4 linked regions of the Danio rerio genome follow. The protein of the gene in region 1 interacts with the protein of each later gene in a pairwise test. Links are inferred from orthologs where the notes say so. Each region holds a gene or a part of one and is shown on either strand. Other genes may lie near its edges. The genes, in order: exosc5, tnfaip1, tfip11 and fcho1.

Region 1 (4,992 bases):
AACTCCTCCCTTCAACGGTAAGTGACTAAAAAGTTCAAACAATAAAACCACGGACACATCATATTTGCCCCCTCTTCATTTTGCATTTATAAAGAAGAGTTTTGCTGGTGTTGAGGATACAGATCCATCATCGTGGACGACCTGCAGGATGACCGTGAGAGAAGAGCGTGGATGAAGGGTCAACAGAAGGGCAGCTTCACAAGTCTCACGGACACACTGCTCTCTCGCTCGCTCGCGGACACCTAACACAACACATCGCACCACAGTATGAGGAAGTTTAAAAAAATACTGTACCAGACTGACACCTAATGCTGAAACATGGCTGTGCAGGCCATGCAATTATAACTATGTTTACTATTCTAGTATGAGCTGTATATGTGTATTATTAAACATTAATAATAATAATAATTAGTAATAATAAAACACTGACTAAATAAAAACAATTTACATAAACGACACACATTTTTTATGGCATAACATTTTCTTCCTGACATGTAGTTTTAAGACTCCCTTTAAACAGTTTATACTCATGTAGGTAATTGTTTCTTATATTATATTAAATAAAAAAGTGACAAACAATTCATATTTATGTTGCATTAGTCTGTGTTATATTGGGTGTAATTAGTAACTAGTAACAAAGTGGCTAGTGTTTGGTCTGGGACATATTAGGTGTAATTAATTACAAAGTAACGTGTTACTGTAATTACTTTTGTACTGAAAATGTAAAGTAGTAGGTTACTTTTCATGGATGGGTAATTTAATTGCAGTTACTTCTAACATACTTGCCTTAAATACTGTAAATAAGTCCAACAGTTTTGAATAAATCAATTCAAAAAAGCAGAAGGAAATGTGTCCAACAACTTCACATACTTAAGAAACAATGAAATGTTTTAGAAATGCATGCCAATATATCAAAATATTAGTCATCTGCATACAGTACAAGCTACTTTTTACTCAGTTAAATTCATTGAACTGAATATAGATTGGATCCATTCAAAATTCAAATGTCTAACATTTTAAGAGAGGCACGTTTTAAGACAAAAAAAAGCAATATGACAATGTTCAAAGGTGATTAGGGGATTTTCTTTTAATAACACTAAACAATTTTGCTATAATAGAACTTTCCTGAAATAACCGAAAAAAGCCAGTGCAGTTTGCTATCTGTAAATTATACATATTTCTGCTTTAAAAAAAAAAAAACTAAATCTTTTTTTTTTTTTTTGAACAAGAAAGATGTTTTATCCCAAACTAACCCAAACTAATGGTGCACACCAGCTGCTTTTCCAGTGCACAACTGGCATAATGCACATAAAAGATTCATGCCTGATATTTGTATATATATTGTATTTTGTTATTTTGTAAAAACTTTAGATTGTTCAAAAGATGTGCAATGCGTTTCTATTATTTAATTATTAATTATCTGTATCAGTCTTTCACATTATAGCTGATATGCTAAATGCAGACAGATTTAAGTTAATCCAACATCAGTGCAATGATAATAATACAAAGCAAAAAATAAATAGATGAATATACATGTAGACATGTAGATCTCACACACTTTTTCATATCGATTTTTTTAAAGAAAATGATTCTGTTCATCAAGGCAGCATTTATTAAGTAAAAAAAAATAAAAAAAATTAATTAATAACTGCTTTCTTATTGTGTGTAGTTTCAAATGAAGTTATTATTCCAGACTTTACTACTTTTATTACTATTACCATTACCCCCATAATAACAGCAATAATAATAACAATTTATATCAGAGCGATTACTGAAAGATCACATGACTCTGAAGACTAAAGGAAGCTGACAATTTATGTGTAAAATCACTGGAATAAATGATTTTATATAAAATATAATTTATTATTTTATAGTGCAATAACATATCACAATTGTCCTATATGTCCTGTATTTTTGTTTAAATAAATGCAGCTTTGGTGAGCAGAACAAGCTTATTTTAAAACATTTAAAAATCCTACTGACCCCAAAATTTTGACCAGTAGTGTAAATGTACAGTTGAAGTCAGAACTATTAACCCCCATTTGATTGTTTTTAAAAATATTTCCCAAATGAAGTTTAACAGATTTCACAGTATGTCTGATAATATTTTTTCTTCTGGAGAAAGTCTTATTTGTTTTATTTCGGCAAGAATAAAAGCAGTTTTTAAATTATTTAAAACAATTTTAAGATCAAAATTATTAGTCTCTTTGTTTTTTTTTTTTTTTTTTTGTTTTTTTTTGTTTTTGATAATCTTCAGAAAAAACTATCGTTATACAATAACTTGCCTAATTATCCTAACCTGCCTAGTTAACCAAATTAACCTAGTTAAGCCTTTAAATGTCACTTTAAGCTGGATAAAAGTGTCTTGAAAAATATCTAGTCAAATATTATTTACTGTCATCATGGCAAAGATAAGATAAATCCATTTTTAGAAATGAGTTATTACAACTAATATGTTTAGAAATGTGTTGAAAAAATCTTTCAAATATGTTGATTTGTTGAAGATAAAGGTAATTTTTTATAAATTTGTAATATTGTCATAACATGACATATAACATTAAATTAATTAAAACTAAACTCCATTCCAATGACGCGATTAAATATATATATTTGCATGTACACGTTTTTATTAAAAAATATTAATAAATAATGCAATTACTGTCAAAATATGGCTGCAAATAAAACTGTTTAAAAACATACTTGGAAGCCCCATTTTGGGCTGTATAAGGACCTCTACAGTTGCCCGATCATATATTTCCTTGCTGACTTTAACCTCAGCTGGTCCATAAACTCCAGCCAGGATACTCGTGTCCCCTAAAAACACATTTACAAATTCAAAACGATACATATTTAAATGAATGGAATAGATCTCTGGATATTCTTTGGCCTGACAGATAAATAACTGCTATGACATGAGTAAAGAAATAAATTACATTAAACATTTATAAATTACCTTGTACAAACGTGGACGACCCGTCAGGTCTTGATAACAAACTCTGTTCACTTCCATATTCTCTTAAAACTGGACAACTTCGCTCCAGCTCCATCTCGGTCCTCATGCACAATCTGCTCGTCGCATCCATAAATGGGTCATTGTTTTGAGCGCACAATAATGACGACATGACACATGTTAGCAGTGCACTTACGCCCTCTAACGGAATTAAGGATGTAATGACACATGTATAGCGACTTTATAAGCACGTTTCTGCTTGTTCCTTTTAGTTATACACACTACCGTGACCCCAATCAAATTTAAAATGTACATAAAAGGATACATTTCTCAGACAAAACCGTAAAAATGAGGAGTAACATTTTTCCTGTAGGGGGCGCAGTGTGTTGGATTTCCAGAGACGAGGAGGGAAAAGACGCTAGAGACACGCACTTGACGTAAAGATGGCGGCTGCTAGAGCTGTGAAGAAATTATATGGCATTGGGCTTCATGCAATTCGTCAAAACACAGCATTAAAAGCAACAACGCTTCTCCAACAAAGGGGATTCCGCGTCAATGTAAGTCTTACGTTTATGGCAGCTGCATATACGCCACCAACGGACTTTTAACATTAGCAAAACTTGCCATTCAGGTTGTATGAAGTGTGTGTAGCCGTGGGAGACCGAAAACATTTCCTAGAATTGTATGAGACTAATATTAACAACATCTGTATAAAGACGTTTTATGCTAGTTTCAAACATAAAAGCTACTGAACTGTCTTAATAATGTAAATGCTAATGTATAAGTTAGGTGTTCCTCATCTGACCTACAAAAGAAATAGTGCTCAATGTCACATGGTCATGATTGTTTTAAATGCAATAACTAGTGGTCAGATGTCTGAAGATTGTTGTAGGTAACAGTTAATGGATCCTTCAACCTTCACATGTCTGTGGATTTATACTCAGAGCTGATTGGCTAGTTGAAGGGGGCGTGTGGATGAAAAAAACAACACTAATCCTGACTGTTATGGGTCATTAAAAAATCTTTACATTTTACAACTTATTTGCATTATTAAATTGTTTCATATTTAAAGTGGATCTTAATTATGAGCTAATGTCTTGTGCACATTTAAATTACAGGTGATAGTAAATTCTTCTCATGCGAATATGTGACTTTATCAATATGCAAACCACATACACACAAATTTAAAGAGAATTAACTTTTTATGCAGTGTACATCCCTAGCTTAGGGTAATTCACTTTATTCCCTGCCAGTTTTTGGGGAAGTTACTTTGACAGGGTATCCACAGAGTCTTAAAATGTTTTACATTTTCAAAATAAAATTTTAGTCCTTAAAAAGTTCTAAATTTGCTGAAATATTGAATTGTAGGTCTTAAATCATTACAAATAGGTTGTAATTTTCTAATATCCATGTAAAGCTTCCCAAATCAGGCCAACACCTGTATACAGTATACACTCACCAATAACACACCCCAATAAAACTTTTAACAAAACTCTATTTAACAATATGGTTCCTCATAATAACTTTTTTATGTTCTCCGGGGATTTGTAGACCATATGTGGCGGGGACACTGACCTTAAAAAGACTATTGTACATTTAGGTTAATAAAGTTTTTAAAGCTTGTCAAAGAAAAGTATGTATGGTTTGCTTGTTTTGACACATTTAAGTATTAAGTAATTAGATTTTTTTTTAATGAGGCAAGCACAAATCTTTACGGTTTAGTCCTGTACAAGTCTGAAATTTCATTCATAAGGGTCTTAAAAAGGTCTTAAAAAGTCTTAAATTTGACTTTGAGAAACCTGTAGAAACCTTGATAACCTACAAAGCTACCCATCAGGACAAGTAGCTAAGCTTCTGTATTGTTTTTTTTTTTTTTTTGTACAGTCAAGTTTCTTCTTATTATCCCTGTTTAATGGCAACTTTTTTGTTAATTTTACTTTTCATTTATTTTTTATTGAACATATAGTAAAGTACAACTTGGCATTATCAATACACCTTTATATTACAAAAAAGGAAACAGGTGCAAATAAAGAACAAATAAT
Region 2 (4,786 bases), on another chromosome or scaffold:
CATCCATGTGAGCAAAATTACATCAAATTAGCAGTAAACGGTTTGTTAAATATGACACGCAATAACTTTCCACGATTGTTGTGAGCTGCAGGCTTTAGACTTTTATGTGTCAAGAGTATTCATTATGTATTTCAATGCATATCAATGTATATAGTTCTACATTTAGAGGAGATTTTATTTATTATAGTAGCCTTGGCCTACTCAAGTTAATTGGTGTAAGGAATAACTGTATAAATTAATTTTGCATCAAAAAAGCATTTTGATAACTGTAAAGTTGTCAATCACCAGCATATTAGTGATCAAAGCACGTGCTTGACCGCATAAATTATTATCCTTTTTTAAATTTTTTTTTTTATAAAAGTTGAATAATGTGCATGTATGCGTTTGCATCTAAAAAGTTAATATCAATAAATGTTCTCTTTGAACCACCAGGTGGCAGTCTTTTACTTTTATTTCGAAGTGCAGATTGCAAAAATGTTATTAATATATAGATTTTATTTTCCCAAGTGTATATAACTACTACTGTAAGAAAATATCAGCATTTGGTAGATACTTTCAATATTATCTTTGCTTGAACTGACCCAATCTAATCATGTTTATATGAATGAGCCTGCTCCTACGCAGGTTTGAGCTACCAACTGTTACTATGACAACAAATCTCAGATGAGTTTTGAAGAACGAAACGATCCTGGATCACGTCAAATCGTCAACATCCAAATCCTGCTAATTGAGTAATCCACATACGAAGAACGGACCCCAGCTCACTGTTTCATCAAATCTTATGACCAATCAAATGCTTTCTAGTACACATCTGACATCTTATGCCCCCTTATTATTGGAATCTCCCCCTTGAGGCACTATTGCTCTCACTGGCAGAGCTGTGAAAAAACAAAATGCTTTTTTTTTTTTTTTTTTTTTTTTTTTTTTTAAGAAGAAGGGCACTACACGGTCCCACCCTGTTTTTATGTTTTAGTTCAAATTATGTCCCACGTCAAACACAAATGCATGTTTCAAAGCACTTCACGGAAACTTTAAAGGGAACCTATTATACAAAAATCACTTTAATGAGAGGTTTATGAACATAACCAGCTTCTAATAAAAAAATATATTCATTTTGTTTTTTATAATCACACTTCATAAAAATAGATTTTAATTGACCTTCTCCCTTTGTACATGTCATCAGAGGGGGAAAGCCCTGCCTCATTTGAATTTAAAGCGACAGTCACCAAAGCAGCACAATTACAATCAAAGCCTAAAAGAGACAGTTTTAAGGAGTTATAAAACATTATCTGTGGGGTATTTAGAGCAGAAACTTCACATACACACTAAAGAGACATCAGAGTCTTAGTTTACATCTTTTAAAAAGGGGCATAATAGGTCCCCTTTAATACCAGATGTAAACTAGGCCAATACAAGTGTATAGCCTATTAAAAAGGAGGTTTTATGTGACTTAACCAACCTGTAGCTCCTTCTGGCACAAGTCTATCAAGCCCTGAATCTGGTAATACTTGGCCTCTGCTAGGAGCTCCATGATGCTCTGTCTGCTTTTTGGCAAATTCACAAATCCATCACGGAGATAGCTGAGAATGGAGCCAAAGTGTTTCCCACAGCGATCTATTAGGATCCAACCTAAAAAAAAAAAAAAAAACCACATTGAGCCAAGGCTGAAGAGGTTGCATCTTCTCTCAGGGCTGTTTAAATAACTCACCTTCCTTATCTGTGAGCACCTCCATCTTGCCGCTGAACATGGATCTCAGCAGGGTGTCCTGTCTAGTGAGCACCTGCAGTGTGGAGTAGTACAGATTTCCACCAACATTGAGCTGAACGTACTTATTTCCGGTCACACCACGGTAGGTGCAGGTGTTAGTCTTGGGGCAGCCCACTGAAGAGACTGGCAGGATGGGCCCGGTGTGTGGCTGAAGCTGGTGCAGGCAGCTCTCTCCTGACATGTCCCTCTGTAGGTAGATAACCACCCTGCACACGATGGGTCTGATTTCCCCTGCCGTGGTGAATGCTGCTGGCCAGGCTGATCGTGATGCCAAACCTACATGCTACACATTAACTAAAGCAATACAGAAGGATCTTTTGAACACTTATTACATATGTGGGTGCCTTTTTTGACCCTGCTTGAACATGAAAAAAAAAAAAAAACAATTGTGATTATTTTGGTTAATTTTGAAATTGTGAATATTTAAAACAAGTGGACCATATGACCCAAAAATGTTTTTAAAAAGGTGACAGTATATGATGCTATAATTGTTTTACTTCTACAATTTTTTTTTCAGAATTGTTAGAAGTCAAAATCTAAATTTAATTTAAATGAAATGAAAATATACATGTTTACAGAAAAATAAATCAACATACATATATAAATACAGTTATTACTAAAGAAACTACACTTTTTCAAGAACTTTAAAGACCCCAAAGAAAAACAATTTATTTTTTAAAATAAGAATTAAGACATATTGAAAATTGGTCACTTTACAGACACTTTACACTATTCTTGAACTGTTTGAGCAATTGTGAGTTATAAATTCAAAATAATTAAATTTAAATGAGGTTAATCATCATAATTTGCAGATTAAACAATCTTAATTTCATACAATTACATATTCAGAATAGTTCAAGTGCAATTTGAAAATACATTTTATATCAATAAAAAAGGGATAAAGAAGAAGTAACATCAGGGTTGCAAAGTTGAAACATAATGAATTCCAACTGTTTATGATAACAATTCTTTGTCCAAAACAGACCTGAAATTTAAACATTTCTCCTCACACAAGTCAGTGAAAAACATGGAGGCTACTTAAAATAAATTGATATTTATTTACAACTGGCCATGATAACAAATTTAAACTTGCCAAATATTCAGTTCACATTGTGTATATCTTTATTGACAATATATTAAATTCTTTTAGTTTAAAGAAAATCTTGATCTTGTGTGTTTTACAGATTGGCAACGCTTTTGAGCAAACGTTTCTGCTAATGTTTCTATTGTGCTAATTTCACGACTAAAAGGCGCAATAACAAAACACCTCAGAGCTTTAGTTAGGGTTAATGCTAGTTTTAAAATACTTCAGCTTATTTAATTCAAAACAACAAAGTTTAGAACAGGTTATTACCATGAAAAAACTTTTCGACGCGTAAAACTCACCCGCTCTGCCGCAGTATAACTCGTCGGCGAGTAACTGAAGTCGACAGTTCTTCAACTCCGCTGTTTTACTTCAACCATATTTGAAAAAGAAACGCATAAACAGTTCTATCAGACCATTTAAAAACAGGGAAAATACCTTTCACATCTACCTTCAGGGCGATGGCTAACAAATGTGATGGATGGCTCTTCTTCGTTGAAAGATCAACAGCAACAGGTTAAACCGTATTAATGATCTACTGCCACCCATTGGCTAGTGCAGGGACAGTCAACAAAAGATAAAGCCCTGAGATTAAAAAAATGTACATTTATGCTAGGTTTTATTTTTATTTAGACAAATGCTTTAATCTAAAGCGACTTACAAATGTAAACAATATGAATACGCAAAGCAAACAAAATGGTAATAAGTATATATAGTATAGATATCATATATACAGTAAATGGAATATATAAAAGGCGATTTATATTATGTATAGCATATATAGAAAAAGATTACAAAGTAATACTTTAAAAAAAGTAATATTTAGATTTAAAAACTTCTTCATTTGATAGCTAATTAATATTAATATAGCTATATTTATGTTTACCCATGGTTTTAACTTAACACCACAAGTTGTAACAATTTCATAAGTAGACTTTTATTTTGAATTGTATACCCAAAATGACATTGTATGTTCTCGAATTATTGCAACATACAATGTGAATCTCCGTTTTTGTACTGTTATTCTACCTCTACATCTTAGCCTTTATAGAACACATATAATAATTAATAAAAACAAACACTGTTAAAATAACATTCCTAATAAAAAAAATATTGGGACTTTTAGCTGCTTTTGACGCAGCCCGTGACGACATTAAAATACCCGCCTTTACGGAATAGTCGACAGACTCGATTGGCTCTCTGCACCTGCCAATCACAATAGACGTAACCAATCAAAATCGTTTGTCCTTTCCACTCGCGCTCCGGGTACGAACTGCATCATATTCAAGATGTCGGCGGTGTCTGTGTATCCCATGTGTGTCCGGGCGAGCCGGGGCCTGCTCAGACTGAGGCAGGGGGCCCGTTGCTCCACGGCCCCTCCGCTGCTGGATGTCGTCCGGCCTTTATCCGCTGACACGTCCAGTAGCAGCGCAACAGGGGGACTGGCACAGGCGATACTGCAGGAAAGGCTTCAGCAGCAGCAGAAGAGCCAGGTGAGAGCTTCATTTGACCGCCTGACATTCCTGCATGACAGGAAAAATTCAGAAAGCCGGTCATTCCGTTATGGAAACTGACCTGCGTTTTTACATTCTGACATGTAACTACTGTAATATGGCGATGAATGAACGACAAGAAGTGGCTGGATTCTTCAGTAGTTAGGAAAGGTTGACAGGTGCTGGTGTGGTTTGAATGAAGTCAGGCAACATTGTGTTATGTGTGTGACATATGAGCTATGACTTTGGTTATATATTCAGCAAGCAAATGTGTATCATTTTAAATATTATAATAATATATTAAATGTATATAATTAGCACAATAAATTGGCCAAAAGATTAAAACAGAGTTGGATTACAAATACTCTCAATTTCATAAATAGACTTTTAATTTAAAATATATGCCCAAATTACATTCATGCTATAACTTATATGTTATGT
Region 3 (4,343 bases), on another chromosome or scaffold:
TATCAGTTGTAAATATAAATAGATAAATAAATAAATATATAATAATATTAATCTTATTACCATGCATTATTAATACATTGACACTCATGAAACAAACAAGCATCAAAAAGCATGAAAAAGGCCATTAAATCTAGCATGGCGTTAAACACAAATTTAATACATTGGCATTTGTACAATTTTAACATGTAGATGTATGACTGTCTACGTTTAAATTCATATTTACTAATATTTTAGATCTCTCTGAAAAGAATCCGCAATAAAGTCATAATTCAGGGCGCATATTCAAAAAAGAGAATTATTGATGTAAGTATTTTCTTTGAATAAATATTTTTAAATGCTTTTAAATATTTGTAAATATTTTAAATGATAGAGAATGGCCAAATTTATATTTATAGAACATATGTGCAAATGTTTTATTCTAGCCATTAAAAAAAATAAATTAATAAATATTTAAAAACTAATTTCTAACCATATAAGAACTTTGTGACTTAGGAGTCCTCTTCACTACTCCTAATGTTTCATTAATTTAGGAGCTAGTGTTTTGAAAAAGCTTTTGTGAAATACTATGAGTGAAATGTTGGAGTCCTAAATTTAGGACAGAAACTCCATTTAAATCTATTATTTAGAAGTAAGATTCTCTCCTAAATCATCAAGTTAAGAGCTCCTTTTAGCTTTAAGATGTCAGTATGACAATAAATTGTCAAAAATGTTTTTTGCAAAAAAACAAAACTTAATTTTTAGTGCCTGTTGAATGATGATGAATTTGACCACATGAATGTCAACACTACAAAACGGTCCGATTTTATGTGTTCTCAACTACCTTTGGATGTGGACGAAAGTGGAAAATCTTAAAACATTTTAGTCTTTGTCTACACCTGTATAAAGCCATGTCCACCTGTGATCAGAATGATGAAAACATCCTAATACCAGATGTAAACAGAACCAAGTGTTTCTATAAAGATGTAACTTTTTTTTTTTTTAAATAGGTGGACAACTGGAACCCACTGACCGACACAGTGCCCATTCATTCATGGATTCATCCCTGGCTACCTCTTATGCAAACCCGTCTTGAGCCGCTGTATGCACCCATCCGTAGTAAACTAGCCCATGCTCTGCAGCGCTGGCACCCCAGCGATTCCTCCGCCAGACTCATTCTGCAACCCTGGAGAGATGTCTTCACACCCGGCGCCTGGGAGGCCTTCATGGTCAAAAATATTGTCCCCAAACTGGGTATGTGCTTTTTTGCTAGACTGTCAGACTTTGGGAGACTTGGATGGCATGTGAAGGTTTTTCTCCTGTGTTTCAGCTTTGTGTTTAGGAGAGCTAGTGGTCAATCCTCATCAGCAGTTGCTCGATCCATTTAACTGGGTGATGGACTGGGAATGTATGCTCTCTGTCTCTTCCATGGTCGGACTCCTGGATAAAAATTTCTTCCCCAAATGGCTACAGGTCAGCCTTACAGAGTTTTACAGTTATGCCTGTTTCACATTGTAAGCGAGAGCAGAGCATAAGCAGCACGTGCACAGAGCAGATTGAGAGCAGATGTAGCGCACAGGCGTTTGCCTTTCACAGTAGCTCTGTCAGCAGCACGCAGTGCATCAGCAGTTATTGCACTGTTTAAGTTGTTTAAGTTCATTTAATTGAATATATAAAAATCTGGGGACATTATCGATGCATTTATTGGGTAAAATTGCTACTTTTTACGGTCATTCAATGTGTTTTTGGTCGTTATCAATCCACTGTCACTTTAATTGAGCGTGAGCAGCATGGCAAAAATAGACCCAGCACTGAAACTATCGCTCACGCTCCACGCTGACATGCTGCTTCTGCGTGCAGTATGAAAGCTCTAATCTGTTAACATGGACGCCGAAAAAACACGCGCTGCTTAAGCTCTGCTCGCGGTGTGAAAGATGGGTTAGTCAGTGTAATGCATTAGCATAGCTTGTATTTCTTTGGGATTGGGACAAAACATGAAAGACTGTTGTGTACTGTTGGGGATGTTTTCATTCACTCTGTGGTGCTTTTTGAGTCGTAAGTTGGCCAAAACTTTGTCTGTGTTACAACAAATGGAATCATTTTTGGTGACAAATTTTTTGACACATATTTTGGGAAAATGCTTTGAAAATGTTTAAAAATACACCTTGGGAAAATTTGCTACCCTTTCATTATTTCTGTTTCTGTTTTTTCCTATTGACTTACATTATAATCATATTTTTGCAAAGCCAAAAATTGCAAAGCCATGACACCATATAATCATGCATTCTTAATTGTTGTTGGTGGTTTTCCCCTCTTGGAAAGAGGTGCAATTTAATTTTTTTACTGTTGATCATTAATTGAAGAGCAAAAAAAAAGCTCAGTTTCTGTCTTCTATACTAGTGTGTGTGAGAGAGACACCTTTGCACATTTTTCTTAATATGTTTGAGAAAATCAAAATAAGCAGCTCAGCTCTCAGAAAATAGTAAACATATTAAGAGTATTTATACACACACACACACACACACACACAATAATCTAAACAATAATTTTTTGCACATGCCTATCTAAAGTGTTAATGCTGCCAACTGATGTTCATCAGTAAAAATGACACATTTACCTTATCCCAACAGGGTAAACCACCAACAATCAAGAATGCATGATTATATGGTGTCATGGCTTCGCAACAAAATAAAAATGTAATTATAATGGAAGTCAATGATGCTAAAACAGCCACAAACATAACAAAAGGGCAGTATACTCGAAAAGTACACAAAGGTTAAGAATGTTTTTAGCTCGGATAGTTCACTCAAATAAAACTTTCATCCAAGATGTAGGAAGGCATGGGATGATAATTGTTTTCAAAGTAAGCTGCGGTTTGGAAAAGTTAAGGTTTTAAAACCGTCAACATTTTCTGCTGCACAGTAATCACAATACTGTCAAACCGGGATATTTTTATCCAAGGTTATTATACCGTCAGAATCTTATACCAGCTCATGCCTAAATGTAGGTGCCATTTTCGTCTTTAAACACTAAAGAGTAAAAGAGAACATTAAAGAGTTCTAGCTGATAAAAGTAGTCATTAAATGCCATGGCTCCGGATGACACACTGATGTTTTGTAGGCACTCCTACTACATTTGTTCACGGTTTCTTTGTCTCCTATTGCAGGTGTTGTGCTCTTGGCTCAGTAATAACCCAAACTATGAGGAGATCACTAAATGGTATCTGGGCTGGAAGGGCTTGCTCTCAGAGAACCTGCTCAGTCACCCATTAGTCAAAGAAAAACTCAACGAAGCCCTCGACATCATGAACCGTGCCGTTGCTTCTGGACTCGGTCAGTCACATGCTAAAAAAATAATGTTCACTTAATTCATCCATTCTACCTTCAACTTCTCATACATTTGCTGTCCTTGCAGGGGGTTATATGCAACCTGGAGCAAGAGAGAACATTGCATACCTGATTCAGACAGAGAGAAGGAAGGATTTCCAATGCGAGCTTCAGCCAGAGCGGCGCGAAGTGGACAATTCTGCCACACGGCCACCAGGAATGGCAGCGGTGCCAGCATCTGTACCGACCAACTTTAAAGATCTAGTACAGGCCAAGGCCGAAGAGAACGGCATCGTCTTTATGCCACTGGTAGCCAAACGGCACATGGGCAAACAGCTATTCACATTTGGCAGAATAGTCATCTACATCGAGCGTGGAGTGGTGTTTGTCCAAGGTGAGAAAACCTGGGTTCCAACATCACTACAGAGTCTTATTGACATGGCCAAATGAGGCGGAGGTTTGAATATTGCTCTCTAATCTAGTTCTGTGTTGCTTTAAACTGTTTGTCTATCAATATTGTTTATACTGCTGAATAAACTTGTGCTTTAATTAATGGTTGATCGTTTCATTCAGCTACCGCCTACTGATGTGTCACATTTCATTTTAATCAGACTAATATAGGAAGAGATTTTTATTTTATACAAATTTTTATTGTGTATTTCTGTTTAATAAGCTGGTGGAAAAAATAGTGAAAACTAAATCTGATTTACAATTGAAAAAGGAAATATTTCTATTAGAAAAGTAAAGGAGCAGTTATTACAGAAAAATAAATGGCATTGTTTCATACATCATTTGATCCCTCAAGATATGGTTCAGAGAAGTAAAGTGTCCATCTCTTCAGAAGCAGATGGGCTGTTGTTATTGATGTCACAGCTCTTCTGCCTTAAAAATCCTTCTGAAGATCTGCAAAAATCAAATACAACAATTACATTGTGCAGCCAGTCATTATTTTGAACTATGGCCAATTACAAATTTCTGGACTTTATTTTATGAATAAAAAAAGACCCTAAAGACAAACCAAATCATTTAGGTCACAGGTGT
Region 4 (4,343 bases), on another chromosome or scaffold:
CCTGCGCCGACTGCCAAGATTTTGCTTAGATCTTTAATCATTACACCTGACCACATCCATAATACATAATGCACATCACATCCAGTATAATATTATTGGATAAATTCAAACCACATACTATCAAAATAGTACCATTCATCTATGTGACTAATCTCTGCAATTAAGCAGTTTTGAGTAATGAGCCAGTGAGGGAAGACTAAGCCTAAACCTCTTTCTCCAAAAACAACATACACACATGCACACACTTCCACTTTTGCTATTACTGTCAAAAACCCCTGATGCAAAAATAGAACCAATTCTGAGGCTGTAATTACAGCAATTCCGCGGACCTGAGATCAGTCTGTCAATTTAAGGCAATAATGACAGAGCAGTTAGGATACTGATCCCAGGTCAGCTGGATGGCAGATTGCTGTGATTAAGGTGTCAGTCGGAGATGTGTGTTGTGGGATATTGACATCTATTAATGTGGACAGAGGAGGAGGTGGGAGACAGTGGCCATTGGAGACGGCTTACTCACAGGAACAATGCGTGAGTACTGAAAAATTGATGCTTTATGGTGTAACTCTAGCAGTCGGAGTGCAGAAATGAGCGTCTGCGGCGTGTGACTGACCTCTCTGGGGAACACTTTCCCCTTCCCCTTCAGATCGACCTGCTGAACTCGAATTTCCTGTTTCAGGAGAATATATGCATGAAAAAGAGCCCCACTAACATATATGCAGAATATGGTCATAGAGAGGAATGAAAGTGAACTCACGAGAGAGCTGCTTCTTTACTGACACCTACAGGATTAGATGAATCAAACAATGACAGGTTTGTGTTAAAGCCATGCATCATATTTGCTGTGACACTTTAAAAATAAGAAGTAATACTGTATTGATGACAATGTTGTCAAAACAACTAAAAACACCTACAAGCGCTCTATTATATATGACAGACATGTAGTTGTCACTTTGAAAAAGGATATACGCAGAAGGACTTTTAATTTTTCAGTAACCTGGGTCAAACGCTACTGGTGAAATGTATGCTGTTACAAAATCACCACGTTTAAGGTCTATTTCTTTAAAAATCAAAGATCTTTACAGCCTGATTAATATGCTATGTAAAGTGGGTCTTAGAATATGCAAGAAGCACTGCATTAAATTACATTTTTCCGCACCATGTCTTTAAAATATGAACATTTATTTTACCCCAATATTTTCAATTGAGTTTCTGTGCTATCCTGCTGATCCTGGCGGGGTATGCATGTAAAAGGTCTATTTAACTGATAATATATTTAATTATATTACAACATCTATGCTGTAAAAGGAACTGTATTAAATTTAAAAAAGGCACATTAACTATTCACTGGAAGTTTATCGGTATGGGAAAAACACCAGCTGTGTATATTGCCTATTAAACAGTACAGTATTCATCACCACTGAAGCTTTAGTTGTCAAGTGCATGTGTGTGATTATAGACTGAACGTAATATGCATGCATGTGACATAACTATTTTCATAAATTCTGCTTTTGAAGGTTACAATAAATAAAATAATAGTGTCATTTTTAAGAACCTGCCCTTGAAATCCTTTTTATGTCTATAAATAATAGTTGTGTAAATGAATGACAAAAACGCAGAAAATATTATAAAAAAAAACTTTTAAAACACATTAAAAATAATCAAGTAAATATAAAATTCATACATTTTGTGACAATAAATAAATAAATAAAATAAAATAAAATCACAATGGTCCATGACTTCATTTTGCTTTAATTATGTTTTAAAATGCTGTTCAATTAAAGGTTTCAGCATTAAATAGACATAAAACACAACCAAGATTTTAAGTTCTTATCAAAGTAAAGATCACAACCGCTGACAAGCACAGTGATCTGTTTTTCCTCAAAAGAGCTCATTTTAGGAGCCTAGAACTTAGTAAACATGTCTTTGTTTACAGAGGAGCCAGAAACATCATGTGCACTCTAACTGAAACCAAAGAATCACATTAGAGTGGTTTGTTTGCCTTGTTATGTGGAAAACAAATTAATTGGCATATGTAAAATGATTCATTTATTCTGAAACCAAAATGAGAGATTACAGAGACAATGACAGTATTATTCGACAAGTCCTGTGATCTCAATCAACATGTAATCTTAACCAACTTGTTCCATATCAGTTTTTGTTTCATATTTATATTATATAATATAATAAGCAATATTACACAAACAACGAGTGCAATATTCATTCATTTTTCCTCAACCCAGTCTGTTATTCATCAGGTGTTGCCACAACAGAATAAACCGCCAACTATTCCGCCACATGTTTTACGCAGCGGATGTCCTTCCGGCTGCAACCCAGTAAGGGGAAACACCTATACACTCTCGCATCTTAATTATTTTTGGTTTACTGTAATCAGTTACATACTGTACCCTTCTATTTATGAGACATTTTGTAAACTTAAGCACTGATATGTTGAGCAATTTTCGGTAAAAATGAATAAATGATTCGCATCACTCTTGATTTGGGCTGTTAAATCTCTTACCACTCTGTTTGGGGGCAGAGTCAACGCCCCCACTGTGGCCTTCAGCTCCTGCTCATTGGCTGCTGAGTTGCTGCGGTTGCTGCTGGCGACCGGGCGGATCTGGATGTGAAACTTCTTGGGTTCTTCGTCATCGAAATCCGAGTCACTGGAGTAAAAGTTTCCCTCCTTCTCCTCAGCAGCACAACGTAGAGAGCAACGGTGTTAAGGAGGAAATCAAGACACACACATGCACTCACACACAGATGCAAAGAGGGACAGGTGAACACTAGAAAACACTGGCTAAGACACAAATAGACACGAGTGTAAACATTTACACAAACACAGCTGTTATGAATAGTCTAGAAACAACAAGTGTAGAAATAGACATCGTATTTAGAGACCCTATAGAGTGTCATATGCTTTAAAATGGCTCATGATGAAGTCAATTAATCGGGAGCCTATAAGTGACATCTTCATCAGACAAATAGAAATGATGCAGTGGGCTGTGTATCCATCACTGTTTATTATCAGACAATGTAAGAGTCTCTGTTTCACATCCTGCTTTACTAAACCACATTTCCCGAAAATAACATCCTCTGTGTGTCTGTAATACCTTTGACACTGTGTAAAAAGGAGGGCAGATAAAAAAATATTTTCAAAAAGCTTATAGACCAGTATATGTGTATGTGAGTGAAAATCTGTTTTTACAAAACTATTTGTTGTGGTGTTGAATTTCCAGCCTTCAAACATCCTCAAAAAGCCAGGTTAAGAATCAAATAATTCCGAGTTCACACTGCATGATTTTAGCCCCAATTTTGACTCGCCGACAGGTTTTGAGAAATCGTCGACAAATGACTGAAATCACAGGCAAATCAGTGCTCTGTTCACATGAGTAACAATCACACAGTATGAACTATCAAAGGCGCGATCTGAAAGAATTGCCGATGAGTCGCCAACGCCTGTCAGCTATTTGGCATCCAAAATATCTGGTGCTGTCAACGACTCAAATCATGCCGTGTGAAATGTGTTCTGACTGAAAATAACATCAGCGATGACCTACAGCCAGTAAGAGAGCAAAGTTTGTAAGGTGCCCAAACTTCGTCTTATAAAGGGCCAAAAATCAAACTTGATTGAGAGCTGTGGGCCAAAGTTAAAGATATCAAACTGTATTAAATTAAATTTGCATATTTTTTAAAAATAACTAGAAGACGTTGCTTTAAACGTAATAAAACATGACGTGGATTAATTTTTAACGTTTTATAATGAACTTATTATAGTAAAAACATCCACAATCATATTTATAACACAATGGAGTTTAGAGCTGAATACACTAGTCGAGCTGCTCCTGCCTTTGCCTTGATTCGCTCGCCGATGTCTTGTGCATCTGCCAAGTGACAGTATTTACATTTTAAAAGTCTGATTTATTACAACGTTTAAATTAATCATTTAGTTCTAATTGGCTTTTTTGTAGCTCCTAATTTAAACAAAGTATCAAAAGGTTACATTCAATTCGAAATGACACCTCTGTCAAAGGCATTCGCCTCCAACCAACTCCCCATTGTTTTCCCTCACTTTTCAGAAGGTATGGCGGGCCAAACCAAAGGTTACCATGGGCCAACTCTGCCCCACGGGCCCTACTTTGGCCACCTCAGCTCTATACAACAATACCTTTTTTTGTATTAAATGAATATTCCAAAATAAAGATTGGATCCATTAAAAATTAAATTGTGCAATATTTTAAGAGGTGCACAATTTAAACTTGACAATCTGACAATTATTAAAGGGGATATTTGCCATTCAGTATTTCTTTGAACAATGTTACATTTATTTTACATACAGTATAATA

What was found.
Region 2: the proteins of exosc5 (region 1) and tnfaip1 interact in binary tests that used the Homo sapiens proteins (3 or more experiments, as listed by UniProt). The two-hybrid records come from large-scale screens. The link is inferred for Danio rerio from reciprocal best matches to the Homo sapiens genes EXOSC5 and TNFAIP1.
Region 3: the proteins of exosc5 (region 1) and tfip11 interact in binary tests that used the Homo sapiens proteins (3 or more experiments, as listed by UniProt). The link is inferred for Danio rerio from reciprocal best matches to the Homo sapiens genes EXOSC5 and TFIP11.
Region 4: the proteins of exosc5 (region 1) and fcho1 interact in binary tests that used the Homo sapiens proteins (3 or more experiments, as listed by UniProt). The two-hybrid records come from large-scale screens. The link is inferred for Danio rerio from reciprocal best matches to the Homo sapiens genes EXOSC5 and FCHO1.

The regions. Positions count from the first base shown.
Region 1 is NC_133193.1:38,983,554-38,988,545, forward strand, and holds the start of exosc5 (exosome complex component RRP46), read right to left. Parts: upstream 3,088-4,992; 5' UTR 3,084-3,087; coding exon 2,954-3,083; intron 2,815-2,953; coding exon 2,701-2,814; intron 243-2,700; coding exon 121-242; intron 1-120. Other genes in the region: bckdha (2-oxoisovalerate dehydrogenase subunit alpha, mitochondrial), read left to right, coding at 3,394-3,507. UniProt on the Homo sapiens protein: Non-catalytic component of the RNA exosome complex which has 3'->5' exoribonuclease activity and participates in a multitude of cellular RNA processing and degradation events.
Region 2 is NC_133190.1:23,022,221-23,027,006, reverse strand, and holds the start of tnfaip1 (BTB/POZ domain-containing adapter for CUL3-mediated RhoA degradation protein 2), read right to left. Parts: upstream 3,358-4,786; 5' UTR 3,304-3,357; exon of another isoform or gene 3,155-3,303; intron 2,063-3,154; 5' UTR 1,950-2,062; coding exon 1,709-1,949; intron 1,630-1,708; coding exon 1,460-1,629; intron 1-1,459. UniProt on the Homo sapiens protein: Substrate-specific adapter of a BCR (BTB-CUL3-RBX1) E3 ubiquitin-protein ligase complex involved in regulation of cytoskeleton structure.
Region 3 is NC_133198.1:20,749,560-20,753,902, reverse strand, and holds the end of tfip11 (tuftelin-interacting protein 11), read left to right. Parts: intron 1-986; coding exon 987-1,230; intron 1,231-1,306; coding exon 1,307-1,449; intron 1,450-3,142; coding exon 3,143-3,308; intron 3,309-3,390; coding exon 3,391-3,752; 3' UTR 3,753-3,855; downstream 3,856-4,343. Other genes in the region: prim1 (DNA primase small subunit), read right to left, coding at 4,186-4,205. UniProt on the Homo sapiens protein: Involved in pre-mRNA splicing, specifically in spliceosome disassembly during late-stage splicing events. Intron turnover seems to proceed through reactions in two lariat-intron associated complexes termed Intron Large (IL) and Intron Small (IS).
Region 4 is NC_133183.1:21,920,802-21,925,144, reverse strand, and holds part of fcho1 (f-BAR domain only protein 1), read right to left. Parts: intron 2,704-4,343; coding exon 2,519-2,703; intron 780-2,518; coding exon 755-779; intron 668-754; coding exon 611-667; intron 1-610. UniProt on the Homo sapiens protein: Functions in an early step of clathrin-mediated endocytosis. Has both a membrane binding/bending activity and the ability to recruit proteins essential to the formation of functional clathrin-coated pits.